7 linked regions of the Callithrix jacchus genome follow. The protein of the gene in region 4 interacts with the protein of the main gene of each other region in a pairwise test. Links are inferred from orthologs where the notes say so. Each region holds a gene or a part of one and is shown on either strand. Other genes may lie near its edges.

Region 1 (3,791 bases), on a different chromosome or scaffold from region 4:
TCTCTTACTTCTTGGCCAGATAAAGGAGATAAGCAAGGAAATCAGCAAAGTCTTTTACAACTACTTTCTGTGATCTAGGTCTCATCTCTCCTCCCTACCTTTTGTCCTCTCTACATGTATCAGTGTTATCCATCAGGTATTTCTTCCAATGTTTTTAATACTGGTGCCAGTTGATATATCTGGTTTTTTTTTTTTCATTTGTAGATTATATTTAAAGTTTTAACCATAATATCTTAAGGACTTTGCACACATAAAATGATAGTTCTGTGACTTAATTTTTGTTTCTCAGTTTATCATCTTACATATTTAGGTATCAAATATGTTATTATGAGGTTTTTAGTAGAATATTCCCAGTATGTGATAATCCTAAGAGATGATCTCCAAAGACGAAAGTAGAAGGAATGTGATTTGTCAGTTTGTAGGGTTTTTTTTAATTTATTTTTTTTATGCCACTATGCTTTTACTGTTTCTCTCCAACTAAGACTTTTGTATCACAGCCCATAAGTGAGGGTTTCTGATGTAAATGTTTTTTTGTCCATTTAAACAGGGACAAATTATGTTCTCTTATTCTTGTTTACTACAGGATACCCAAACCAAAAGTATTATTTCAGAGACCAGTAATAAAATTGATGCTGAAATTGCTTCCTTAAAAACACTGATGGAGTCTAACAAACTTGAGACCATTCGTTATCTTGCAGGTAAGACTGTTAGAGAAAGAAACTGCTGTCATCTAGTTATCCTGTTAGTACCTACCTACCAAGGTAACTATGCAGGCACGGGGGAAAAAAAGGAGCTATAACAAGGCTCCTTTATTGCTTGGTCCCTGTAATGCTTAAAGAAGGTTCTAGTCTCAGGATATATTTTGGGGAGTCTTGTATTTTTTTTAATTACTTGCAATTTTTATTACAGCAGATTACAAATTAGATCCAGCCAAAGGAAAAAACATATAGGGTATAGTATTGGACAGTTCTCAATGTGAAGCTTCTGTCATCCTCACAGATGTGTTAACCTTCAGAATACAAGTGTAGCAGGCAACTCTGCAGCTTACTAATAGAAAAAGCATGTGGATATAAAAGAAGCATATATACAATGGGAATAATTGGATTTAAAAGTTTTTTTAAAAAGAAAGAAATATATAAACACAAGCACAAAATAATAGAAGGATAAACTGGATATTCCACAGCGAAATAATGAAAATTTTCTTTTTATTGCTCATGTTCTTCCACAAAGATTTGAATGAGGTTAGAGAAAAAGATCAATAAAGTAGATATAAGCTCATTAAAAACCTGAAGGGGGGAGAGACGACCTCCTACCTTGAATCAACTGATGCAGCTTAGATACTACCCCAAAATTAGATTATTTGTCACATACTGAGCTTCTCAAGTACCATCTGACCTGACCCAATTATAGGGCCCCAGTAGTTAGAAACAATGCCCTAGTCAACTATTACTTGTCTTTTTTCTTTCTTTTTATAAAAAGTATTTTCATTATAAATTATTCATAGAATTTAAAAGCAGTAAAAGTGAAAGCCCCTCCCCATGTGTATTTACTATTAGTAGTAAACATTTCTAGGCTTCTTCTGTATATAAACATTTTATATACTTCTTAAAAATAATTAGATCACATATTTTTATATTCTACAACTTTTAAAAATTGAACCAAATGTCTTATTTCTTTCCACATCAATACACACAGACATCATTTTATTAGAAAGCACAGTATTCTCTATATGAAAATGCCAAAATTTATGTATCCAGTCCTCTATTAATAGGCATTCTCACTCCAGTTTTTCATTATTAAGGACAATACTGTATTGAACAGCCATATATATGTGTATGCTTGAGTAAAAACACACACATCTTTGTGCAGTCATTTCTATATAACAACTTGCTATGTACATTTAAAATTTGGGGTCAAAAAGATATGCACATTTAAAATTTTTGACATTAACAAATTGCTGTCTAAAAGAAAACTGCAGATTTATACTTTTAGTCATTTTCTGGGCAGTCACCACTGATGTTGAGGTGCCAGCAGGGTTGAAGATGGAGCCCGCAGACATCAGCTGAACCATGGAAGGGGCACGGGGCACAAGTAAAATAGCCTACCTACAAGGGTACTTGGAATCAGAACTTACTCTTTAAATCTGTGAATGTGTACCTCATTTGCTCATACCAGCTTTCTCCATGGGTTGGAAACATTACCACCTAGACTCTTTTATCATTCCACTTTCACTAATCAGGAGAGATTGCCTTCTTTCTTTAGTTCCAATTTTTAAAATCCTCAGAAAGGAGTCTGAATGGTTCATCTTGGGTCATATACCACCTTTTGTCCCAGAACACTGCTGCCAAGGAATAATGGCAATTTCCATTCAATCTATGTGGTTAATCTCTGTAGAAAATGTGGCATATTTTGTTCTGGGCAGATAAATAATGAAAACTAATGTTTACAGAGTGCTTAAAATGTATCAGGCACATGCTCACCTAAGCATTTTACATATATGTAGAACGTCTCTCTAGACAGGGTATAGAGGATAAACAGCAAATTTAAAAGAATTTGGGAATGGCTCCATAGTTACCACAGCAACAGCCATGAGAAATAAAAGCTGAAATAACAGCAGCAAGACATGAGAGAGAAATTTAAATGCAGTCGATTGTATAGTCTACCAAAGGATCAAAATGCCTGCTACCTCACAATAAATGTTCATTTTGGTTATCTAAAACTTAATTTATCAGCTGTTAAATCAGCAGAGGATGTAACCACTTAGCACTATGTGGCTCAAATAAATGACAGATTGAGTCTTGCCAGTGTCACAATATATAATAAGGGTAACAAATCTTTTGTGTGTTTTTTTATTAAAAGAAAAAAACAGCTTTAGAGTCAAGTACACTTAGTCTTAAATCCTGTCTTCACTGCTTGCTAGTGATATAACTGGGCTTATTACCTTATCTGTACAATGGGGATAATACCACCAATCTCGTGGTTAAATAGATAGTGTATGTAATTGCTCAGCACACTAGCACACTACCTGACATGTGGCAAATAGTCGCAGGATCAACCAGTGGCAGTAAAACAAGAAACTCTTAGTGTTATTACTTCTCAAATGCCCTTCTCTATATGTCTTAGAGATGCCTAATGCCGTTTCTTAAAATTGAGAAAATAATCTTATCATTAACCAAGTTTCACTAAGTAGTAGGATCAAAGGGAATGGTATACAAATGGGTTTATATATTATGAATAACTTTACTTTGAAAGGCTTTCTTGTGTCTTTATTCATAAAAGTTTTCCCTTCATCTCTAAATTGTCTGTTTTTAAAATTCATTAATTGGTGTTTTAAACAAACAGGAGACTAAGGAGTCCCCAAAGGCCTCACTCAGTCTTACCTTCTAAAAGCTGGGAAAACAGAAGCTTTTTTTATCCAAAATGATGTAACATAAAGTACAGCTAGTATATTAACTATTTTAAAAACCTGATGCTTTTTCTGCTTTTCTTCTACTTGAGTTTAAAGAGTTTTTACTAAGAGAAATTATTTTAAAATGTACTGAAAAGGCAATTAAAATTCTCTTCTCATAGACATATGGATGTTTATTCTACTAGCTTAACTACATAATTTTTTAATATAAGAAAGATTTGAATGAGATCATTAGCTCATTATGAGATCTGTAATTAGAGCTTATAATTATATAGTCAATAATGCTAATGTTAATGATTTTAAATATAATTTATAAGTTCTAAATGACATATAATTTGCATTTTAATATACAGGCTCTTTTAAGAAGAATTGGGCATTAATG
Region 2 (3,377 bases), on a different chromosome or scaffold from region 4:
GTCAACAGACACAGTGGTCCCAGGTTCTGCCAAGAGTCCTGGTGAGGAATGTGAGGGAGGATTGAGGGTACCCCAGGGCCAGAAGGCAGATGGTGACCCCACAGAAACCAGCCCTGCTCCTGTTGTCACCCCAGAGAGCATGGACTTGGCTGTCTGCAGAGGTCCCTCTCTCATCCTGGGATCATTGATGTCATGGAGGGGGAGGCCTTGCTCTGAGGGGGCTGGACCCAGGTCAGTAGAGGGACAGTTCCAGGCCCTGCCAGGGGTCAAGGTGAGGACCAAGCAGTCTCCTCGCCCAGGACGCATTAATTTCAATGAATTTTAATACCTCTTGCTGTTCTTCCTGGATGGACCTAGGCACGTGTGGCCAGATGTGGGTCCCCTGCTGTCCTTCTGTTCCCTATCAGGGATATGAGTTCTTGATCTGCATTTCCCTGAGCAGCAAAAAGGGTGGGATTCAGGCCCTGCCAGAAAATGTGAGGCCCCTGCGTGAGGACAGAGGGGACCATCCACTCCATGAAAGTAGGGATGTTACAGAGTCCAGTGGTGGATAGCAGTGAGGGGCTAGGGCTGTGCTTGCAGTCTGCACCCTGAGGGTGTGTGGATTCCTCACCCAGGAGCTCCAGGAACCAGGCAGTGGGGCTTTGGTCTGAGGCAGTGGCCTCAGGTTACAGAGCAGAGGATGCACAGGCCGTGCCAGCAGTGACTGTTTCCCCTGAATGCACACCAAGGGTCCCACCTGCCGCAGGACACATGGGACTTGAGAGAGTGTGGCCTCACCCTCCCTACTGTCAGTCCTGCAGAATTGACCTCTGCTGGCTGGCTGTATACCCTGAGGCGCCCTCTCATTTCCCCCTTCAGGTTCCCCCTTCTCCAACTGGGAGGGCCAGGTTCCTTGGAGGCACAGGGGAGCACCAAGGAGATCGGTAAGTAAGCCTTTGTTAGCGTCTCCAACGTTCGGTTCTCAGCTGAGGCCTCTCACACGGTTCCTCTCTCCCCAGGTTTGTGGGTCTTCATTGCCCAGCTCCTGCCCACACTCCCACCTACTGTTCTGACCCTGACCAGAGTCATTATGTCTCTTGAGAAGAGTCAACACCGCAAGCCTGAGGAAGGTCTTGAGGCCCAAGAAGAAGCCCTGGGCCTGGTCGGTGCACAGGCTCCCACTACTGAGGAGCAGGAGGCTACCGCCTCCTCCTCTTCTACTCTGATCCCAGGCACGCTGGAGGAGGTGCTTGCTGCTGAGTCAACAGGTCCTCCCCAGAGTGCTCAGGGAGCCTCTGCCTTCCCGACTACTGTCAACTTCACTCACTGGAGGCAACCCAGTGAGGGTTCCAGCAGCACCTGCCGAGAGGAGGAGGGGCCAAGCACCTCTCCTGACCCAGAGTGTGCGTTCCGAGAGGCACTCAGTAAGAAGGTGGATGAGTTGGCTCATTTTCTGCTCCTCAAGTATCGAGCCAAGGAGCCGGTTACAAAGGCAGAAATGCTGGAGAAGGCCGTAAGAAATTACAGGCGCTACTTTCCTGTCATCTTCGGCAAAGCCTCCGAGTCCCTGAAGATGATCTTTGGCATTGATGTGAACGATCCGGACTCCACCGACCAGTCCTATACCCTTGTCACCTGCCTGGGCCTCTCCTACGATGGCCTGGGGGGTGGTAATCACATCTTGCCCAAGACAGGCCTCCTGATACTCGTCCTGGGCACGATCGCAATGGAGGGCGACTGCGCCCCTGAGGAGGAAATCTGGGAGGAGCTGAGTGTGATGGAGGTGTATGATGGGAAGGAGCACAGTGTCTTTGGGGAGCCCAGGAAGCTGCTCACCCAAGACTGGGTGCAAGAAAAGTACTTGGAGTACCGGCAGGTGCCCGGCAGTGATCCTGCACGCTATGAGTTCCTATGGGGCCCAAGGGCCCTTGCTGAAACCAGCTACGTGAAGGTCCTGGAGCATGTTGTCAAGGTCAATGCGAGAGATCGTATTCCCTACCCATCCCTGCATGATGCAGCTTTGACAGAGGAGGAAGAGGGAATCTGACGACGAGTGAGTTGCAGCCAGGGCCAGGGGAAGGGGACTGGGCCAGTTCAACCTCCAGGGCCCTGTCCAGCAGCTTCCCCTGCCTCGTGTGCCTTGAGGCCCATTCTTCTCTCTGAGTAGTCAGCGCTCTTAGTAGTGGGTTTCTGTTTCATTGAGTGACTTGGAGATGTATCTCTGTTTCTTTTAGAATTGTTTAAATGTTCCTTTAATAGATGGTTGAACTTCAGCATACAAGTTTATCTATAGTAGTCAACTATATTAGTGTTTATGTAGTTAAGGAGTAAAAGTCTTGTTTTCTATTCAGATTGGGAAATCCATTCTATTTTGTGAATTGAGACATAGTAACAGCAGTGGAGTAAGCGTTAAAAATGGTGACTGAATTCACAGTAAAATACGTGAGATAAATTAAAAGATACTTAATTCTTGCCTTATACCTCAGTGTATTCTGTAAAATTCAAAAAACATATATGCATACCTGGATTGCCTTTAGCGTCTTTGTGAATGTAACAGAATTTAAATCTGAATAAACAATTCTCCCTGTTCACTGGCTCATTTCTTCTCTACGCACTGAGTATCTGCTCTGTGGAAGGCCCTGGGTTGGTAGTGGGGATGCTAAGGTAAGCCAGTCTCACCCTACCCATAGAAGGTGGTAGAGTCTAGGAGCTGAAGTCACATAATCAAGGTGGCGATAAGTCCTCTAAGATGTAGAGGAAAAATAAGAGGGGTGTGAGTGTGGGGCTCCAGGTGAGAGTGGTGGAGTATAAATTCCCTGTGTGGGGCCTTTTGGGCTTTGGGAAACTACATTTTCTTTTGAGGGATTTGATTCTAATGAAGCTTGGTGGGGCCAGGGCCAGATTCTCAGAGGGTGAGAGAAAAGCCTGGTTTAGAAAACTGCTCTGAGCAGTTCCTTTTCGACGGTGGATGAACAGAGAGGAGCCTCTACATGGGGCAGGAATGGAAGGTGTCTTACACTTTTGTCCCAGTGTTGCTGAACACAGTGCATGAGCTAGGTGATGTACACCCATTATTTGCAAGGGTTTTCCATGAGATAAGGGTGTGTTTCCCCTGAAGGGAGACCCAGAAACCACTGGCCAGGTGCTTTTCCACCTGGCTGGGAGAACCAGAAATATTAAAAATGCATTCTAATTAGGTTATCTCAAGTGCAATTTGACCAATTTTAAGCATGGGCTAGATTTCGGGTGGTAACAGAATGAGTGAAAATAGTGGCATGGATGGAAAAGCAGGTAGGAGCAAGGGAAGGAGTTGGTCTTTGACTCGAATTCTAGGAACTTTGAGCTGCATCTGGCTGGGTAAACCTCACACACACCTAAATTTTGAAGCATATTCT
Region 3 (4,454 bases), on a different chromosome or scaffold from region 4:
GGAGGAGAGTGTAGGACTGATCTTACACTGGCAGATTCTTCTCTTTTGAATACTCTTCTATTACCTAAAGAAATATTTTTGTCAGTGAGCCTCAAAAACATGGGCTCATAATAAAGTAAAAAGCAAGTTTAGCTCATCTGAGGCTATTGACTGAGGAAGAGGATAGGGTTAGAAAACTTAGTTGGTTCTGAAATACCTACTTTTTTTTTTTTTTTGAGATGGAGCCTCACCCTGTTTCCCAGGCTGGAGTGCAATGGCACATCAGCTGACTGCAACCTCCACCTCCCAGGTTCAAGGAGTTCTCCTGCCTCATTCTCTTGAGTAGCTGAGATTACAGGTGCACACTACCACGCCTGGCTAATTTTTTTGTATCTCCAGTAAAGACAGGGTTTCACCATGTTGGCCAGGCTGGTCTTGAACTCCTGACCTGATATGCCTGCCTCGGCCTCCCACCAAAGTGCTGGGATTACAAGTGTGAGCCACCTTGCCTGGCCACAGTTCTGAAACATACATTTTAAACAGGCATTCTCTTTATATTCAAGGTGACCAGGAGAGAAGGTGGCTTTAGCATCAGTCTAAGCTCTAGTCATAACCTGTACTTTTGGCCCCTGGCTCTTTGAAGTCCTTTCAAGTTGCCTGTAGCCTATGAAACCTGGCCTGAAGCTTTTCCTTGCTCTTTCTTCCAGTCTGAGGCTGCTCTGTAATGGGAGGGCTGCAGCAGCCCTCTGCAGGCTGGTGTGGATCTCTGAGCCATGACCACCCGTGGACTGGGTGGAACTAGGCCAGGACTCAGGGCTGCCCGTGGACACAGTGTCACCTTGGCAGTGAACACTAAGAACTGTGCTTTGCAGGGCTGTGAGGAAGAAGGTGTGGCATTTGGCCAGTTCCCACTGATGGTGACTACATACCGAACACGAAGTTGTCTGGCCTGAAGATCTGGCCAAAGGGTCCAGACCTGACGGAGTCCATGGTGCCAGGCTCCAGATCCACCAGGATGGCCCGAGGTACATATTTGTTACCTGCAGGGAACGAGAACTGACTCAGACCTGTACTTGGGGGGGACTCACAGCAACATTCATTAAAGACAGCTCCAGCATCTGAGACAAAAGGAGAACAGGAGGTTCTCTGCTTTTAAGAAAAAGGAGGTCTTGAGTGTGCTTAGCCGTGGCGAACAGGCAGGATTCTTAGGGAACCATTACGTGTGTTTTTCCAGCAGTTGGCATTTGAAATGAATATGCAAGAAGCATGCCTTTGTCACGTGCATGTTCCTAGGACGGTTCATCTCCCACAGCATGGGAAGCAAGGATTCCTGTTAGGAAGAAGGAATGTTCTTGCTAACACATCCCGCTACTCACCAGCAGCCTCATTGTAGTACACGTTGATTCTCTCCAGCTGCAAGTCACTGTCTCCATGGTAACTGCCTGTGGGGTCGATCCCATGCTCATCGCTGATGACCTCCCAAAACTGAAATGAAAAAAGATCCAGACCATGGCCCAGCGTCCTGAATGTCACTAAGGATGGCCTTGTCCTCCTCCCATGTCCTTGGAACAGGGGCTTTTGTGGTCAGACGGTAAGTGCTAGACAGAGAGCAAAGAGCTGCACCCCCTATTTCCTGCAGCAGCCACTGCTGAGGGGCTTGAAAATCCGCAGAGCATCGGCCATATTATGGCGATAGACTGAAAGGCTGGGAGGGGCCCTGGAGGAGGAGGGGGCACAGCAAATGCCCTTCTAGAGAGAGGGTCAGGAGGGTAGAGAGGTGGGAAAGTGGTACAGGGAGGCTCTGTCACCCCAGGCAGGGCTGAATGCCATTGCATCGGGGATGATTGATGGGTCGTGGCAGGACTGAGGACAGGGGAGCCCACACTGTGGCAGCCTCCAGGAATCAAGCTCTCTTGGCATAGATCCCAGGCACCCCTGCAACAGTGCAGGTTTAAGCCACCGATCTACATGCTGGCACTGACCACAAGAGAGACTGGGCAGGGAAGGGCAGCAGGAACCTGGGAGGACGCCTGGGTGGCAGTGGAAGGAGCTGGCCATGGTGAGGGCGCTGGCTCCATTGTGAATTTAAGACAGGGAGGGGGCGGGGAGGCTGGGTGGGCAACATGGCGGTTCTCAAAGAGACCACGTCCTTGTACAGGCACCACCCCCACCCATGCAGCAAGCCGGCTGCTGCCTCCCACACAGCGGTCGGTAATTGCAGCCCCCACCCAGCACAGTCACCTGCCACCTCAGGGACTGGCAGCAAGACTATGGCGTTATAAGACTTCATGTCTAGACAGTGCCGGAAATAGGGAACAAGGGAATTTATCTAACACCCTCGCCTGTGTGACCCAAAGGGAAGCCTCTGTTACACCTGTCAGTCCAGTGACACTGCATGTTTTCATTCAAACCGTTGAGAAAAATGTACAAATTAAATATCTCATGAAGCTAGCGGAATAAATATGACCATATCCTCGCCCCAAGTTTCTGAGACTAATACACCCAGCGGAATGCCAACTGCGTCCCGCAGAAGGGCTGTGTCCCAGGGAAATCGAAACGGCGCCGACTAAAGACTCACACGGCTACGGGGGCCGCGGGCATCCTGGCGGGTTGTGCAGCCTCCCCCGCCTTGCCCGCCCGCCTCTCCGCGGAGTGTACCACACGGCCAGCCCCGAGCCACCGAGGCTTCCCACACCCGCCCCTGCCCCGACCCCGGCCCCAGCCCGCACCCTCCGTCACCAGCCCGGGCCCCTCCGCGGCGGCGCGCCCACCTTGGCGCCGATCTGGTTGCCGCACTGGCCCGCCTGGATGTGCACGATCTCGCGCATGGTGCCGGCTGCGGAGCGGGTGGCGCTGGCCCTCGGAGCGGTGCGCGGCGTGGACCGGCGGGCTCGGCTGCGCAGAGACCTGCCGCCGCCCCCCAGCTCCACCTTTTATAACCGGGGACCTGCCCTACCCTGCGACGTCATGATGGGCGGAGCTGCGCCCGCGCGAGAGGCGCGGCTGGGACTGCGGCACCGCGAGGGGGAGCCAGGGCGCGGTGCGAGATGCGGGGGCGCTCGACCGGTTGCGCCTGCCGCTGGGTCCCGAGTGGGCGCCCGGCCTTGCTGTCTGGCGGCCAGTGTGATGCCCGGACCTCAGGCCCAGCCGCAGCCCCCTGCTCGATCTGCGGGCGCCGGCCTCCCCCTGGCTCTGGGTTAGCTCACGCCGCAATCCCCACCCCACCCCGCCTACTCTGGACCCTAGAAGAGGGGCTAGAGACTGGAGAGGCTGCCTCGGAACAGGGTCCTAGCCCCCAGGGCCGGGAAGAGGCGTTGAGTACCATTTGAAGTGGGGAGCTGGGAATTGAAGACCCATTTACAGAGGAGTCTCCAGCGGGTGGAAAGGTTTCCCGCATCCTAGGCAGGAGCTTGGACTCTGCTCCCGCTCCATCCCAGCTGGGACGCCGGTGCTGGGTGGCGGGGACAGCGTGGAGCGGAGTGGAGAGCTCGGGGGAGCCGACTGGCAGCTGCTTGAAAGGAATGCCAGGATGGCGGGGTGGGTGGCCTTTCGCCCCTACAGGGAAGAAAGATGGCTTTGTGGGGGGCGGGGCGGGGGCCAGAAAAGGACTGGATTTGTCACATGTCCTGGGCTCCTGCGCCCTTGTAAAGGCCTTTTAAATGTGGAAAATTCTGTGTGTGCGTCAGAGAGGAGAGACAGGAGGAATATATCTGCCACGTTGATGTGTTAGCCTATGGCCCTGCCCCCTTACACCCCTTAGGTCACCTGATCCTCACAGAAGCTTTCAGAGCTGGGCTATCCAGTTTGGTAGACCTTAGGCACCCGTGGCTGCTGAGCATTGCAACGTAGGTTGTCTGAACGAAATATGCTGTTCAGTGTGAAGTACACACTGGATGTTATGGGCTCAGTAAGTTAAAATAATGTGAAATATTTCTTTATTTATTTGTTTTTGGAGACGGAGTCTCACTCTGTCACCCAGCCTGGAGTATAATGGCTTGGTCGGCTCACTTTAACCTCCGCCTCCCGGGTTCAAGAGATTCTCCCCCTTCAGCCTCCCAAGTACCTAGGACCTACAGGCGCATGCCACCACACCTGGCTAATTTTTGTATTTTTAGTAGAGACTTTCACTATGTTGGTCACACTGGTCTCAAACTCCTGACCTCATGATCCACCTGGCTTCGCCTCCCAAAGTGCTGGGATTACAGGCGTGAGCCATTGCACCTGGCCTTCATTACTGATTCTTAAATATTGATGGCCAATCAAAATAATAGTGTTTTGGATACGTTGTGTTAAATTACTTGTTTTGAAATTAGAAAACGCAAAATTACATACATGGTTTCCATTTGCTGCTCACTTATGCATATTTTTGTTGACTACCACTGGTTGGGAGTAACCATTATTAATACCCCAATTTCATAGCTCAGAAAGCGAGGCTGAAAGACCTGACCAGCCACAAAGCTACTATGGGAAGGAAT
Region 4 (3,791 bases):
GTGGTCACCCTCCTGGAGCAGGCAGGTAGCGTGGAGAGCAGTGTCCGCTAGGCGGCAGCGGCTGGAAGAGAGTGAGCAGCCCTTTCAGGCCCCTCAGTTGGTGGAGCTACATTGCAGAATCTGCTGCGGGGCAAAGAGCTTCCTGGCAGCCGCAGCCTCCCCTGGCTTTCCTGGCACGGGGCAGTTCTCTTTGTTGTCCAGCCCGGCAGGCTGGCCTGAGGCCTTCTTGAAGTAGCAGAGGCGACACACAGAGTGATACTTGTCTGCTCCTCCAATCACTTCGACCTAGCCGCAGGGACAGGGGATGGGTGAAGGGCCGGGACAGGAAGGAGACAGAGCCACGCCCCCACCCCACCAGCCCGCAGGGAAGACAGGTGGAGGTACCTCCTTTTCGGTGCCAAGCCTCTTGGTGTAGGCGGCTTCCCGGAAGCACTCCATGCATACTGCGGTCAGCTTCACCACGCTCTCGGCCAGCGGCACCAGGTTCAGGATGGTCCCAAATGCCTGCACTCCCATGGAAAGACAGTGGGTGCTCGGCTACCTTCCCAGGCGGGGTTTTCTTTTAAACCCTTTGATTCATAAGCACTGAAGCCAGGAAAGTTTGCTCTGACCTCAGTCCTCCCCCAACCCCCAGAGCACCATGCCTGGCTTTGTCTCCTTGCCAATTCAAACCACCTGCCGCAACAGATGGCACCTGGTCTGCATAGACCAGGGAGTCCCTAGGCTCAGGCAAGGACTGGTCTGAGCAGCTCAACTGTGCCCCTACAGTGGCTGGGCCCTGGCCACCCAGAAGCCCCCTCCCCTCCTGGAATCACGCTCCAGACCTGGATCAGACACCTTACCTTCCTCTGGAAGGTCCCGTCCAGTGCAGCCACAATTACTGTCTTCCCGGCGTTGGCCATGGCCTCACAGAACTCCACGATGTCAGGGAACTGGAAAGGGAAGGTGGAGAAAGCGTGAGAGTTTCCACCCTAGCAGCAGCTCCCTGAAGTCCCAGCAGAGACGCTGCCAGATCAGACAACTCCCGCCATTCAGCCTGGAGCAACTCTAACTCTTCCATGAGGTTCCTCAGGCTGGGGACTGTCCATGGGTGCCCTCCCAGCAGATGACAGGCACATCCACAACTGCCCAGCCTCTTCCCTCTGCAGCCAGCTTCTGCTCCGAGTCCAGGTACCCAGGACTCAGCATCAGACTTCCACACCTGCTGTGCTGTTTAACACTGCAGCGGCCAAAGGCTGGGGCCAGACATCTGCTGCCTGGGGCTCGGACACCGCTATTCCGAGCGGACACCATTATCTGTGTGACCTTGGCAGTGAGTTAACTTCTCTGAACCTGTTTCCTCTTCACTGAGCGATAGCAAGAAAGGTCCTATTGTGTAAGGACAGAAGGCACTAAGTTATACACATGCACTTCAGTGAGTAGCTGGGCATTTTGTGCTCTTGCCCCCTCGCCTTTTTAGACAGGTAATGTGCCTTGAGAAGGTGTGGGGGTCCTCCTGGCCATTTACAGAGCAGGATGACACAGCACAGCCTTCTAAATACAGGGCCGGCACAGAGCACATTTACTGCCTACATCAAATTTCACTTTGGCCCAGGGAGAAGCTGAAACTCTAGCAAGTGCTTTGGTGATTCTCATCAATCAGTCATATTGCTTTTAGCTGGTTGAGTTCACATGTCCAGACTGGCCTTTGGGTTGGCTGAAGTGGGGATGTTCCTGTCCTTGGGCACAGGTCTCTCTCCAGGAGCCCCTCAGGCTTTCCTCAGCCCAGGTACTGAGGTTTGAGGTTATTAAGACATTAGGGCTTAGCAAGGCGAGGACTAGGGGATAACTGGAAAAATTCCAGTGGGATCCAGGTGAAGCCTGATGTAACCGACTGCGCTCAGCAGACTGCAGGGGCCTCTAGAAAGAAAACCCAGAGACTCCAGCACGCTGGGCCCTGCCCCACCATGCACGTGTTCTCTCTTTTTCTCTGAGGATTCATCACATGTCACAAAAAGGCAGCTCCCAGTCTTGCTCCCCATTGCCCAGGCTGGAGGGCAGTGGCTCAACCATGACTCACAGCCTGGACCTACAGGCTCAGCCGATGCTCCCACCTCAGCCTCCCAACTAGCTGGGACTACAGGTATGTGCCACTACTCCTGGCTAATTTTTGTATTTTTGGTAGAGGCAGGGTTTCACCATATTGCCCAGGCTGGTCTCAAACTCCTAGTCTCAAGCAATTTGCGTGCCTCGGCCTCCCAGAGTGCTGGCATAACAGGCATGAGCCACTGTGCCAGACTCTTAAGTTTTTCCAGATTAAACTTACGAAGTCTCTAATCCAAAAGGCTCCAAAACCTGAAACTTTTTGAGTGCATACCACAAGTGGAAAATTTCACACCTGACCTTATGGGACAGCTCACAGTCAAAACCCTGGCTCATGCCCAAATTACCAGATAGCATATAAAATCACTCCCAGGCTATGTGGATAAGGCATCTATAAACATATCGGATCTTGTATTTACAGTTGGGACTCATTCCCAAGGTCTCATTATATTATATATATGCAAATATTCCAAAATCTGAAAAAATCAGAAATCCAAACACTTCTGGTCCCAGGCATTTACGATAAGGAACATTCAACCTGTATTACTTGTGTTAGTAGAACAGAAAACACAAAAAACCGTTTTTTGGTTTTTTTTGTTTGTTTGTTTTTGAGACAGAGTCACTCTGTCACCCAGGCTGGAGTGCAGTGGCATGATCTTGGCTCACCACAACCTCTGCCTCCCGGGTTCAAGTGATGATTTTGCCTCAGCCTCCAAAGTAGCTGGAATAATAGGTGTGTGCCACCACATCCGGCTAATTTTTGTATTTTCAGTAGAGACGGGATTTTACTATGTTGGCCTGGCCGGTCTCAAACTCCTGACCTCAAGTGATCCGCCCGCCTTGGCCTTCGAAAACGCTAGGATTATAGGTGTGAGCCACTGTGCCCAGCCAGAAAAAAAAGTTTAAAAAAATCAGAGCTTCCACTATTGCCAAGCAACCCTGCAGGCCCGCCAGACACTGTACAGCTGTTGATGAACGCATCGGGGAGGTGCTGGGGCCAGGGTGCTCACCCACCACCAGCATCTGAAGCACAGCACGCCCAGCTAGTGGCTTTGGGGTCTCCACATGACTCTCTCTTGCATGCCAACAATTTCTACAAAGCAGTGTGAGCGCCACTGTGCCTCACCCGGCATACAAAGAAGCACAGAAGCTTCTGACCTAGGGCCTTCCTCAGGATGGCATGGTGGCTACTCTATGAAAGGCTTTCCCTGCTGACCCAGAAAACAGGAACAAGGCAGGTCAGGCTGGGCTTCTTCCACTGTCCACGTAGACAATGAAGGAGGGAAGGACAGTCCTTCTGTGGGTCCCCATACTAGGAACCCCTCTCCTCCATCTAGAAATGCTTGCAGTGGGAAGATGCTAAACTTCTAGAAAGGAACAAGGGCACACAGAATGGCACAAGGCTGATGTCTGGATATGGGGTGTAATAAGCACTCCCTGAATGAACTAAAGTTTTACTTGTGGGCCAGGGAGGAAGTAGACTGAGAAATCTCTCCTTCAGGCTGGAACGGGACAGGACTTAATATGCTGGCTCCTGGATGTTACGGAAGGAGGAAGGAGAAGGGAAAGGTTTCTGCCTGGGGGGGGTCTGGGTCAGCATCTGTCAACAAGGTTTATGCAGAGCCAGAGCAGAGCTCTTGAGCAACTCACAGTGGCAGGTCTGAAGGCAGGGAGAGCCTCGCCAAAGCTAAAGCTTCCTTGCTCTTCCT
Region 5 (4,449 bases), on a different chromosome or scaffold from region 4:
TTTATTAATAAATGACAGCGGTTTCTAGTGCCCCCCCGCTTTGGGACAGTTGCCTGACCCCTGTCCATCATCCCTTCAAGTACCCGCATCAGAAAAAGAGCCCGCGCATTCGCCTGCCAATGCCTTGTCGGTCGTAGAGGACGTTGAACTTGTTCACAAACTGGTTCATGGTGTTGCACGTTTTAGTGATGGTGCCGAGGTAGGCCATGAGCCCCACATCATTGCATTGCTGGGAGGGAACATAAAGGACCAGTTCTTCAGGGGATCTCTTGTGGCATGCCCAGGGAACAACAGTCCCCAGTCCTGCATGTGAAAGTGACAGCATAAGCCCCACCTCCCCATCTGGGTTTTACACTCACATCATAAAAGTCTGTCTTGAACTTGTCTGTGCTGAGCACTGGGAGGCAATGACACAGAGCATAGGCCTCCCGCAGGATCTCATGATTAAAGGGGACCTCTCCTAAAGGCACAAAAAGAGGCTGCATTAATTTGGATGCTGTCACTTCCCCAGAAGGGAGAGGAAGAACCCCAGGGAAGTGTCAGGGAAGCCCTTGACCTACCTGCTTCAGAGGCCTTGACGTACTCCAAGATGAGCTTGACGCGGCTGTGCAGCATCTTGATGGCACTGTGCTGTGCTATCAGGTGTTCAGCCACTGCAAGGGGATGGAGACAGGAGGAGGTTGGGACAGGATGTGGCCACACATTCCACCCCCACTTCCAAGGAATCCCCTCCGTTACCGGTGGAGTTCTCTCCACTGCCTGTTGCTGTCATTCGGGCCACGTGGTCTACACCAATGCGTTCCGCTTCCTCTGTGGCCAGAGTGTAGGTCAGCTCAGCAAACAGCATTGTGGCCTACAGGGCAAGGTAACCCACAAAGGGAGAATCAAAAGCAGGAAAGAGGACAAGAGCAGGATGTGAGGGTTGAAGGGTAGGGTTTTACCTCTCCGTTGATTATATCAATGACAGACTCAAAAACGCTGACAGGAAGCTGTGGAGGAGATGGAGAAACCTGAATACTATCTGCCAACATTGGGGCTAGTCGATTTCACACATTTCCTCTCAGCTAATTTTCCCTAGAAACCAATGAAGTAGGGATTACCTCATTTCACACAGTTTGGAGATTAAATGACTAAGCCAGAGTCACAGCAGATAAGTGGCATTTGGCATTCCCCAATACACCGTCACACAACAAAAGGTACAGCAACAATTATGACACAGTAGGCATGGGATATTACTTACATCTGTGTGCTTGGTCATAGGGTTCAACTTCAGAAAGAGGGGGCTCTCAATGATCTCACACACCTGAATGAGAGGGACGATGCACAGGAAGTCAGTGCCCCCCTTTCTCCTTCCCCTCATCCCCCATTCTCTGCTTCAGCATGCACAGGTGTGAGATGTATACCTGCTTGTGGACGTGGATGTCCGAGGGGTCAGGTGGCCCCCCTGTGGTATACCAACCCAGAAATTCCAGCTCCTTGAACACCTGTTTAACTGAAGGGGAAGGGACCAAAACACATAGTAATTATTATTATTATTTTGAGACAGAGTTGTTCTGTTGCCCAGGCTGGAGTGCAGTGGCGCAATCTTGGCTCACCACGACCTCCGCTTCCCAGGTTCAAGCGATTCTCCTGCCTCGGCCTCCTGAGTAGCTGGGACTACAGATGCACATCACCACATGCGGCTAATTTTTGTATTTTTAGTAGAGATGGGGTTTCACTATGTTGGCCAGGCTAGTCTTAAACTTCTGACCTCATAATCTGCCTGTCTCGGTCTCCCAAAGTGCTAGGATTACAGGCGTGAGCCACCGTCCATGCCCAGCCTGACATAGTAATACTTTAAGCCATCTTTCCTCTGTGTGAAGCTCCTGGTGTATTTTCACCAGCTTCTCTCCCCGCTCCTCAAATCCTGGCTCAGTTTAGAGTAATTACTCCCTTCTATCCTGTCTTTTATCCTTTACTTTCTTTTTGGGAAAGAACTCTTAATGTGTTCTTTTTCTGAGATCTCTCCAGCAATTCTCTTAACCTTTTCTTCTCTGTTCTTGGCCTCCTCTCCTGTTTATTTCCAACCTTCTCCATCTTCCCCACCCTGTACTTTTTTTTTTAACTCCCACTCCTCTTCCCCACGTCTATTCCGCTCACACTGCTCTTCCTTGGTGTAATAATATTCCTTGTCAATGATAATCTTCTCTTCCACCGTGTGGGACAGCAGCTCAAAGGAGTTCATCACCTCGATATTTCGGCCCTCCTGCTTCCCAATCAGAGCCCCAATCACTAGGAAAGAGAATGACATGGAAAAGGTGAGGGTAAGGAAACTTCTATCACCTAAGGGTCTGAGGTCAGTGGGAGCCAAGTACTGGGGAAACGATGACTTGAGGGAGGGGGAACTGGCTCCAGTAAAAAAAGGGAAAGACGACTGGGGGAGGTAAGCAAGGAGAGGAGACTGGAGGCTATGCCCAACACTCACCCTGCACAGGCCGCCCCTCCTGGGAGCGCATGCGGATCCAGTGGTCTGAGATGTTGAGAATGACAAGGGGATGGAGAGCGACGGATACACTCCCAGTCACTCCGGAGGCCATCACGCTGGGGACTACTAAGGGTGGAGGGAAAGTAGAGAGGGTGAGAGTCCGGGCCCCACGTCCTTCCCTGGAGACGGCAGTGGGGGACGACGGAGCCCGGCCACACTTCCCTCCCGCAACTTATCCCAGGGAAAGATGTTGCTGTTCCGCCCTCCTCCCTTCTTCTGGGAGCACAGGGAGGCCTCAACGCACCCCTGAAGGAGGTCTCTGGAAGCCACCCCCACACAGCCCGTTACCTGCTGCATCCACCTCCATCCCGCTGCTCCCTCCGGTCCCGTTCGCAGCTGCAGCTGCCGCCGCCATTTTCCTCGCGCCCGCCGGCCTCGGCCCCGCCCCCTTCCTTCCCGGCTTCCGTAAGGTGAGAGGCGCATGTTCAGTGTCCCCGCGGCGCGCGGCGGGCCAGGAGTCCCAGGAGTAGGTAGTTCACTGGCTTGGTTGACGGTTTTCTGGCTAAGGGATCCCGACGCCCTCGCGGGTTTTCGCAGACCTTGTCCCCTCCTGACGCCTGCGGGTAACGTTTGACAAATTACTTAACGGCTTGATAGTCCTCATCTGTAAAATTGAGATAAGAATGCCTAGTTCTTTTTTTTTTTTTTTTTTTGAGACGGAGTCTCACTCTGTTGCCCAGGCTGGAATGCAGTGGCGCGATCTCAGCTCACTGCAACCTCCGCCTGCCGGGTTCAAGCAGTTCTCCTGTCTTAGCCTCGCTAGTAGCTGGGACTACAGGCGCACACCACCACGTCTGGCTAATCTTTGGTATTTTTAGTAGAGACTGGGTTTCACCGTGTTAGCCAGGATGGCCTCTCTCTCGTGACCTCGTGATCCCCGCCTCGGCCTCCCAAAGTGCTGAGATTACAGGCGTGAGCCACCGGGCTTAGCCAAAAACGCTTAGTTCTTAAGGCTGTTGCAGAATGAATGAAATGTCGTGTTACTGCCCTCACAGTAAAATCCAAACAACCGACCACACTCTGCAAGGCCCTGCCTGAACTGCCCTGGCCTGACCTCTACTTTTCTAGCCCTTGATATTCACGCTTCAGCGGCACTGGCCCTCATGTCTGGTTTTGTTGTTTGTTTGAGACAGGATCTCACTCCATCTTCCAGGCCGGAGTGCAATGGTCTCATCTCAGCTCATTGCAGCCTCAGACTCCTGGGCTCAAGTGATCCTCCCACCTCAGCCTCCCAAGTAGTTCGGACTACAGGTGCGCCCCACCACACCCAGCTGATTTTATTATTATTTATTTATTTATTTTGAGACGGAGTTTCACTGTTACCCAGACTGAAGTGCAATGGCACAGTCTCGGCCCACCACAACCTCCGCCTCCTGGGTTCAGGCAATTCTCCTGCCTCAGCCTCCTGAGGTACTCCTGAGTACCTGGGATTACAGGCACGCGCCACCATGCCCAGCTAATTTTTAAAGTATTTTTAGTAGAGACGGGGTTTCACCATGTTGACCAGGATGGTCTCGATCTCTTGACCTCCTGATCCACCCACCTCGGCCTCCCAAAGTGCTGGGATTACAAGCTTGAGCCACTGCGCCCGGCCGTGTTTTTAGTAGAGATGTTTCACCTTGTTGACCAGCATGGTCTCGATCTCTTGACCTCGTGATCCACCTGCCTCGGCCTCCCAAAGTGCTGGGATTATAGGCATGAGCCACCGTGCCCGGCCTATTTTTTAATTTTGGTCAGAGACGGGGGTCTCGCTAGGTTGTGCAGGCTGGCCCCCAGTTCCCGGGCACAAGCAATCCTCCATCCTCGGCCTCCTAAAACACTGAGATTATAGGCGTGAGCCACCACACCCACTCTCTATGTCTGTTTTTCACATTCCTCACTCTTCCATTCAAGGGCCTGTGGTTCCTTCCCTTTTGTACGTCATG
Region 6 (3,063 bases), on a different chromosome or scaffold from region 4:
CTCATTTGTAAGTAAATCTGGATTTAAAAAAACCATGCTATCTTGTATTTCCATTCAGGACAGCCAAGAGAAAAATGGATGAACAGAGTTTTTTCGGTGGATTGCTTCATGTGTGCTATGCTCCAGAATTTGAAACAGTTGAAGAAACTAGAAAAAAACTAGCAGTGCGAAAGGCATATGTAGTAAGAACTACTAAAAATAGAGGTATGGAAAGCATATTGCTAAATGCCTTCTGTGTGTCAGGCACTCTGCCAAGTGTGTCATCATGCAGTTCCCAGTCTAGTGGGAAGAGAGGCAAGTAAATCATCACAGTATTCAGTAAGTGTAAACCACAGAGTTCTCTGCAGCGTACTACATAATCTGGGTTGAGAAGGGAGAAATATTGGTTCATAGAAGACTTCATCCAGTCTGTTAGAAGTGGCTGAATTTTGAAGGATAAGTAGACATTACTTAGAAGGGAGAGGAAAAGATGGAAAGGCAAGCCAGGCAGGATGTTTAAATGCTTAGAGGAATAAATGAGCATCATGTATTTAAGAAACTTTAACTCATACAATATAATCAAAGCCCAGAGGTTTCAGTGACAGATAAGTTTAGAATAGTGGATAGGAAGTAAATCACGAAGGGCCTTGTGTCCCTGCTAAGGAATTAAGGCTTTGACCAGAATGCAGTGGGCAGTTGTGATTTGCAGACTAATTGTCACTGCTAATCGTGGAGAAGTTCTACTTTTGACCAAGCAACCGCATAAATGCCCCACATGCCCCTTCTACCAGATAGTGGTAGAGAGAAATAAAGTGAGAAAACTCTTGGAAAACTTACTCAGAAATCTGGCAAGAGAGCTGTTGAGAATCCCCAGTCATTTGTAGACATTAATTTGTAAGATATGTAAATAGCACCAGGAAAATTTGTATATTTGTGTGGCAAAGGAAATTATAAAATATACAAAAAAAAAAAAAAAATAGAAAACGGAAAGGAAATTATAAAATATTAGTGTGGAGGAAGACCTTTGACATTATCTGACCTGTGTCCTACTTCTTGGTGAGGAAGCTGAGTCTCAGAGTTTGTGACTGGCCTATATTACTAGAGATAAATTAAGGACAAAAATAAGGATTAAAACCCAAGCTTTGGACTCCCTGTCCAGAGCTTACTTTTAAACTGCTTTAATCATCTCAATGTTAGTGGTGGCCTAGCATTATCTTCATTATTTGCTCCCCTTACCCTTAAGACCTTTTTGCCCTGCCCCCTCGGAATTAGATTCATTGTTGTTAAACTATGACTTTTTTGGCCTTGAACACTTTAGTTAAGCTCTATTTTATCTGCAGCATTCTAGCATCTACACATAATTGTATATTTGGTCTTTTCAAAAACTTCTATTAATGAAATTTCAAAACACACAGGTAGAAAAACTAAGATAACATACCTCCCGTGTATTAACATTAACTATCATCAACAGATAGCCAATTTCATCTTTACCACATCTTCCGCACCCCACTGATGTTTTAGTCTGCTTTTGGGAGAGTAAACCAGGGAAGAGGTCCTTTCCAGCCCTAGAAGTAAGCCACACATATTGCTTTCTTTAATAACTAACAAACACAGGCTAGGCAGCATGACTGGAATACTCTGAAATTGCAAAAAAAAAGGATTGTATATAATGATATGGAAAAACTATATAAGATCTACAGTGAAGTGGAAAATACAGAGGTGCAGAAGAAGTACATATTACAGGTTACCTTTTTTAGTGGGGAGAAAAAGAATGGGAGGTAGGAGGAAGCAAAGTAAGGCATATTGAACAGATAAATAAAGAACAATAGCGCTTACTTATGGGATGAAACCAGGCCCATGGAGAGCAAGGAAAGGGTGACACTTGATGCTACATATCTTTTTATCCATTTTAGGTTTTAAACCACATGAATATATTCCCTTCTCAAGAAATAGATTTTTTGGTGTAGAATTTGTTACCATTTTTAAGTGATTTTTAAAATTATATGATTCTGAATGATGCAAACAATAAACTACCTCTGTTTTCCTTTCTCTCACCTTTTAAATTGTAATAAAAAGACCATTATGTGACAAAGAAGAAATTGGTTACAGAGCATAAAGACACAGAGGATTTTAGACAAGACTTCCACTCAGAGATGTCTGGATTTTGTACAACTGCTCTGAACACTTCTGCAGGGAACTCATATCCTTATCTTCCATATTCCTGTGAATTGCCTTTATGTTATTTCTCCTCAAAATGTATGTGTTCATCTGGGAAGCATGTAGATAGAGCATCAAACTCCTCTGAGTATGGTAGAAACCATGATAAAACAATGGAGCATTATAACCACAGTGACTCTTTGCAGAAAACACAGATAAACCCTTTCAAAAACTCAGTAGACTGCCAGGGTGCACGAAAGGCTATTATTCCTTCAGAGGCAGTTGACAGATTTATGCCTAGGACAACACAACTGCAGGAGCGCAAAAGAAGACGAGAAGATGATCGTAAACTTGGAACTTTTCTTGAAACAAACCCAAGTAGTAATGAGGTTATGATTGGACCTCTGTTACCAGACATATCTAAAGTGGATATGCATGATGACTCATTGAATACAACGGCAAATTTAATTCGGAATAAACTTAAAGAGGTAAGGTTATTTTTTAAAAAAAAAACTGTTCTAAGAGACGATTTGGTTACAGGACTAACTAAATGGAGAATTATTTGTGGGAACAATAGTAATTTTTTTTTCACCTTTTAGTTTTTTGACGTGTTTTTCTACGGTTCTCTGTTGAAATAATTGAATTTGGCTCACATTTTTATTTGCTTTGATACTGTTAAGACTTGCTTAAACAATGAACATTTTATGTCACTGTAGATACAAAATATTAAAGCAGTGGTTTCAGCCATTTAAATCAATCTCTGAGAGTGGAGCCCAGACCTGCCATTTTTGTTAAAAGCTCCTTAGATAGTTCTAATATGAGCCAGAGTTAAGAAGGAAAAGTATTATAAATTATTTCTCTCAAAGTTAGAGTTATTACATTTATATAAAATTCAAAATGCTTAATTTGCTTTTGTGATAAAGAGCA
Region 7 (4,387 bases), on a different chromosome or scaffold from region 4:
AGCTACTTTCTTGTAGATTATGGAACAAAAGGCGAGCCCTGCTCCTTCACTAAAACCCTAGACCAGGTAAAAACTTCCAAGACTCATGCTGAAGAGGGGAGCTTCATGAACTTGAATATTAGGGGTCACACAGGATTCTGTTCACAAAAAGGTAAAATCACAACAATGCAGACCATAGGAAGTTTACTGTGTCTTTAAGAGACTACAATGCAGACTCCTCTTCCAGAGAAAGGTCTTTTAAGAGTCAGGGAACTGTCATTCGGATGCGTGGCTCATTTGTCATTTTCATAGTCAGCTGGATTCTTCCTCTTGGATCGCTCAAACTCTTCAGTCCCCCATGTGTAGAGAAGATAAAACGCTATAAACGCTTTAAAAACCAAGAGAGCACACATATAAGACACAAAGAAGAAAAAAAAGGTCTTAGTCCTCTTAAGGTATACACTTCAGTAGTTCTTAGCATATCCAAGGCCGTGCAACTATCATCACTATCTGCGGCATGTTTTACAAAGCATTTCACCACTGTTAAGAACTGGATAAAGATGACCTCCGAGGAACATGCTGGAATCACTCGAGTGACGGAGTGACCCTGAGCCAGTCATTTCAGTTCTGTAACTGTTTTCCCCGTGTTAAGATGGGGAGGATAGTATGACCAGCTTAAGGGCGGTCACGAATATTCAACGAGAAAGGTGTGTACTGCAAGTTACAGAGCGCCTGCCCGACCGCCCCCGCTCATAGGGGAGCCGCAGTGACTGCTGCTACTGCTGCTGCTGGAATCCAGCCTCCCGCCCCCGCGGGCCCTGGGCACTCACGCGGCACCACGCGAAGGAAAGACTCCCGAGTGCGGCGCACCACGTTGGGGACTCCTTTAGAGAAGACGTGCGGGAAGGCGCGCTGCTCGAAAGGTGACAAGCTGTAGGAGATCACATGCCGCATCCGCGTCAGATTCCCAAATTCGCGACCCATGGTGGCGGCGGCCCTGCAGGACCGAGGGCGGACGGGCGCTTGGCTCGCTTTCGCGAAGCGCCGCAGTCCCCGCGGGGATCTGTCCCCAACCCCAGACGCCTGCCCCTGCAATCCTTATCCTTCCCCAGCCCAGAGAGTCCCCCACGGTACACTAACAGCACAACCAAACGCCACTCACTCACTGGAGTCACCGACCCCTCCGTAGTCACCGATCCGGTGGACTCGTTCGTCATTTCCGGTAAGATCGGAAGCCGCTCTTGGAGGACGTGAGGTCACTTCTGGGAGATACCATTTTCCTGCTGTCTCTAGGGGGTGACGCCTCTGTCCCAGAAAGAAGTGTCCTGACTGGGTGACCCGTAGGTGGGTGGTACCTTGGAGGCCCTCCCTGGGCCTGTGGCTTGGAGCCTAGCGGAGGACGTCGGGGATTGAGCGGGCTTTGGGAAGCAGTGGACAGGCGGAGGCGCTCATACTTCTCCTCAGCCGTCGGCCTTTCTGTGGAGTCCAATCAGGAAGCGGTCGAATGCGGGAGGCGGGTGAGGGGACAAAGAAGTGACAAGGAAGGGGCCTGTCGACTTCGGGGGCCGCGCTGGCCAGGAGCTTGGGGCCTCCGAGTACTCCCGGCTGTGGACAGAGTGCCTCTGCGTCTTGAGGCCAGGCCACCCCGCAGCAGACCACTTTGGTCTTGGCCAGTAGCTCAAAGGGGGCTCCGTTATTTTCAGGCCACCAGCAACCCCAGCACCAAAATCAGGGACATACATCTAAGGCTTTTCTTGGTAACTTCTGTTTTAGAGTCCACCGGCAGGCTGTAAACAGTCCCAAGAGATAATAAAAACGTTTCTTGAAATTCAGCCACAAAAATCATCAAATAATCATCAAGCAATTGATGAACACTGAGGCTGCGTCGACAGCAGCCAGCCTCCTCCCAAGATGGTTTGCGTGGGGTGGGGGGTATCACCATGCCCCAGTTCTTTCCTATCCCCACATGAGAAGCAAGGAATGTCGAGTGAGAGGCCTTCTTGTGTTTTCCCTGAAGTGCATTCTACTTAACGATGCTGTTGTCCTGTGCAGCTCACCACGCGCCGGCTGTCAGTGTTTTGTTAGTGGAACTGCTGGCCATATATAATCTAGGACCAAACAATCAACAGATGAGTGTGTTTTATTTTTATTTATTTATTTATTTATTTATTTATTTATTTATTTTGAGACGGAGTTTCACTCTTGTTACCCAGGCTGGAGTGCAATGGCGCGATCTTGGCTCACCGCAACCTCCGCCTCCTGGATTCAGGCAATTCTCCTGCCTCAGCCTCCTGAGTAGCTGGGATTACAGGCACGCGCCACCATGCCCAGCTAATGTTTTGTATTTTTAGTAGAGACGGGGTTTCACCATGTTGACCAGGTTGGTCTCGATCTCTGGACCTCGCGATCCACCCGCCTCGGCCTCCCAAAGTGCTGGGATTACAGGCTTGAGCCACCGCTCCCGGCCATGAGTGTGTTTTATAACACTGCTTACGGACCACGGAGGCTCAGCAGGCAGTCAACTTGTATTTTGCATACATACCTTAGTTTTCTCAATCTAGCTACTGCACAGACTGGCTTTGTATCTTGTACTATGGGTGTGAGTTGACTTTCTTCCAGCAGTCTCTCCTTCGGGGTGGCGCTGAATATCCCCTCATTTCAGCTTTTTGTGGTGCTCCTTTGCCTCATTTTTCTAAGCCATAATGTCTAGCCTGGTCTCAGCTCCAAGGCAAGAACAGAAATACAGATAAGGACAGAAATGCTATAGCGAATTCTACCACCATTTGGATGAATAATAAAAAAATAAAACATTTATTTTATAGCATCTGCAAACATCCCAAAACCTTTCAACCAAAATACATATAAATGAGTGTGTAGACCAAAGTAAGGACATCAAGATGTTATATTTAAAAATAAATCAAGATTAAAGGCAATGTCCTTCTCTTTTAGGAACATTGCAAATACAATTGCAATACTCCAAGTACATATTCTGTACCCAGCCACCTGGGACTACTGGGAACTTCTATGCCAATTGTGACTTTCTCACCCCTCAAATTAACATGCAGTGAATAATTACATATTGTAAACACCTGGAAGTGGAAGAGGCAGTGGGGATAAATTAAGAGGAAGAGTAAAGCTAATACCATAAGTTCGTTGCATAGCAACAGATCTGAGTATCATCATGAATAATTGGTTAGCTTTTCCACATGCCTCAGAAGTTTCAGCAATCACCTAACAAACATTTTAGGAATCCAGATTTCTCAAAAATTGAGAGATTTAAGATAATTCCTCAATTTATCTTGGACTTTCAGCTTAGTAGCTAGCCCAGTACTATAACAATGACAGGTTTTAAGTAAATGGCAGGGGAAAAGGGAGGAAATCTAAATAACCAATCTCTAGCTGGTGAATAGATTGGCTGAATAAGGTGTTATCAGCTGCTTGATATAGAGCTGATAAAAATCATCTTCAGCTAGGCATACTTGAGGCCTGATTACAGAGGTGATGCTCTTCCACCCACACACCTAAAATTTATTTAAGAAACCAAGCTAGGCTCTTCCTGGCTTTTAGGAAGAGGACTGGCATGGAGAAATATGTTCCTCGCTAGTTCTCCCAAGCCATGGCGCTTCCCAGCAAATTACTCCTTTGGTTTTGCTGCTTTGCCTGGCTATGTTTTCCTATTAGTGTTGGTTCTCAGGCTTCTAGGGGAGACGCTCAGATTGCTGCTAGTGCTGAGTTGGCATCTGAGGCTAAGCCTTGGTCCTTGCTGCAGCCTATAGAGGAGAGAGACAGAGCTGGCCTCCTTCCCCCGCTTTTCAAAGTTCTCTCTGGTGGGCGAGGTGGGGCACCTAGGCTGCAGCCAGACTCCAGAGCTTTGCACTACATGAAGAAGCTCTATAACACATATGCTACGAAGGAAGGGATTCCTAAATCCAATAGAAGTCACCTCTACAACACTATTCGGCTCTTCACCCCCTGTACCCAGCACAAGCAGGCTCCTGGAGACCAGGTAACAGGTGTGTAAAAGCAGATTGGTTAACTGGATGGAGGGAGGATGATAAACACTTCTGCATTTCAGTTACAGAAAGGAGCTGAGTCTAGCTCCTTGAATTGCATTTTATTTTCCATAAAACTCAGTATCCAACTGAAACAAATCTGGGATTTGAGCTTATTGTTTGTTCCTAATGCTCTCCTTCGTTAAGGTGGGCTTACATGATGGAATTTTAAAGTGACACCGGAGACTTAATGGCTTTCAAGGCTGAAGGGCAATGCTGCTAGAGAATAGTAGCATCTCTTTCTATACCACTAAGCTTTTGGCCCGGAAATGGGCTTTAAACATCTCTTACAGCTATTGGTGTGCATGTTAAATAGGATATTTTTTCATTGTTACTTTCTTTGAGAGAAAATCTTA

Evidence for each region.
Region 1: the proteins of TK1 (region 4) and CCDC90B interact in a two-hybrid assay, tested with the Homo sapiens proteins (2 studies listed by BioGRID and IntAct). The link is inferred for Callithrix jacchus from reciprocal best matches to the Homo sapiens genes TK1 and CCDC90B.
Region 2: the proteins of TK1 (region 4) and MAGEA4 interact in a two-hybrid assay, tested with the Homo sapiens proteins (2 studies listed by BioGRID and IntAct). The two-hybrid records come from large-scale screens. The link is inferred for Callithrix jacchus from reciprocal best matches to the Homo sapiens genes TK1 and MAGEA4.
Region 3: the proteins of TK1 (region 4) and TUBB2A interact in a two-hybrid assay, tested with the Homo sapiens proteins (2 studies listed by BioGRID and IntAct). The link is inferred for Callithrix jacchus from reciprocal best matches to the Homo sapiens genes TK1 and TUBB2A.
Region 5: the proteins of TK1 (region 4) and COPS6 interact in a two-hybrid assay, tested with the Homo sapiens proteins (2 studies listed by BioGRID and IntAct). The link is inferred for Callithrix jacchus from reciprocal best matches to the Homo sapiens genes TK1 and COPS6.
Region 6: the proteins of TK1 (region 4) and RBM48 interact in a two-hybrid assay, tested with the Homo sapiens proteins (2 studies listed by BioGRID and IntAct). The link is inferred for Callithrix jacchus from reciprocal best matches to the Homo sapiens genes TK1 and RBM48.
Region 7: the proteins of TK1 (region 4) and GDF9 interact in a two-hybrid assay, tested with the Homo sapiens proteins (2 studies listed by BioGRID and IntAct). The link is inferred for Callithrix jacchus from reciprocal best matches to the Homo sapiens genes TK1 and GDF9.

Annotation. Positions count from the first base shown.
Region 1 is NC_133511.1:57,103,278-57,107,068, forward strand, and holds part of CCDC90B (coiled-coil domain-containing protein 90B, mitochondrial), read left to right. Parts: intron 1-583; coding exon 584-698; intron 699-3,791.
Region 2 is NC_133524.1:148,219,184-148,222,560, forward strand, and holds the end of MAGEA4 (melanoma-associated antigen 4), read left to right. Parts: intron 1-861; coding exon 862-926; intron 927-1,001; coding exon 1,002-2,029; 3' UTR 2,030-2,587; downstream 2,588-3,377. UniProt on the Homo sapiens protein: Regulates cell proliferation through the inhibition of cell cycle arrest at the G1 phase. Also negatively regulates p53-mediated apoptosis.
Region 3 is NC_133505.1:27,486,453-27,490,906, reverse strand, and holds the start of TUBB2A (tubulin beta-2A chain), read right to left. Parts: upstream 2,889-4,454; 5' UTR 2,808-2,888; coding exon 2,751-2,807; intron 1,465-2,750; coding exon 1,356-1,464; intron 1,020-1,355; coding exon 909-1,019; intron 1-908. UniProt on the Homo sapiens protein: Tubulin is the major constituent of microtubules, a cylinder consisting of laterally associated linear protofilaments composed of alpha- and beta-tubulin heterodimers.
Region 4 is NC_133506.1:133,958,957-133,962,747, forward strand, and holds part of TK1 (thymidine kinase, cytosolic), read right to left. Parts: intron 933-3,791; coding exon 843-932; intron 505-842; coding exon 385-504; intron 286-384; coding exon 94-285; 3' UTR 1-93. UniProt on the Homo sapiens protein: Cell-cycle-regulated enzyme of importance in nucleotide metabolism. Catalyzes the first enzymatic step in the salvage pathway converting thymidine into thymidine monophosphate.
Region 5 is NC_133503.1:13,493,082-13,497,530, forward strand, and holds the start of COPS6 (COP9 signalosome complex subunit 6), read right to left. Parts: upstream 2,893-4,449; 5' UTR 2,880-2,892; coding exon 2,813-2,879; intron 2,591-2,812; coding exon 2,465-2,590; intron 2,272-2,464; coding exon 2,140-2,271; intron 1,493-2,139; coding exon 1,404-1,492; intron 1,304-1,403; coding exon 1,241-1,303; intron 990-1,240; coding exon 942-989; intron 854-941; coding exon 739-853; intron 654-738; coding exon 561-653; intron 461-560; coding exon 360-460; intron 230-359; coding exon 89-229; 3' UTR 1-88. UniProt on the Homo sapiens protein: Component of the COP9 signalosome complex (CSN), a complex involved in various cellular and developmental processes.
Region 6 is NC_133512.1:57,086,938-57,090,000, reverse strand, and holds part of RBM48 (RNA-binding protein 48), read left to right. Parts: intron 1-58; coding exon 59-204; intron 205-2,055; coding exon 2,056-2,624; intron 2,625-3,063. UniProt on the Homo sapiens protein: As a component of the minor spliceosome, involved in the splicing of U12-type introns in pre-mRNAs.
Region 7 is NC_133503.1:75,579,063-75,583,449, forward strand, and holds the start of GDF9 (growth/differentiation factor 9), read left to right. Parts: upstream 1-1,337; 5' UTR 1,338-3,595; coding exon 3,596-3,992; intron 3,993-4,387. Other genes in the region: UQCRQ (cytochrome b-c1 complex subunit 8), read right to left, coding at 273-367, 810-963. UniProt on the Homo sapiens protein: Required for ovarian folliculogenesis. Promotes primordial follicle development. Stimulates granulosa cell proliferation. Promotes cell transition from G0/G1 to S and G2/M phases, through an increase of CCND1 and CCNE1 expression, and RB1 phosphorylation.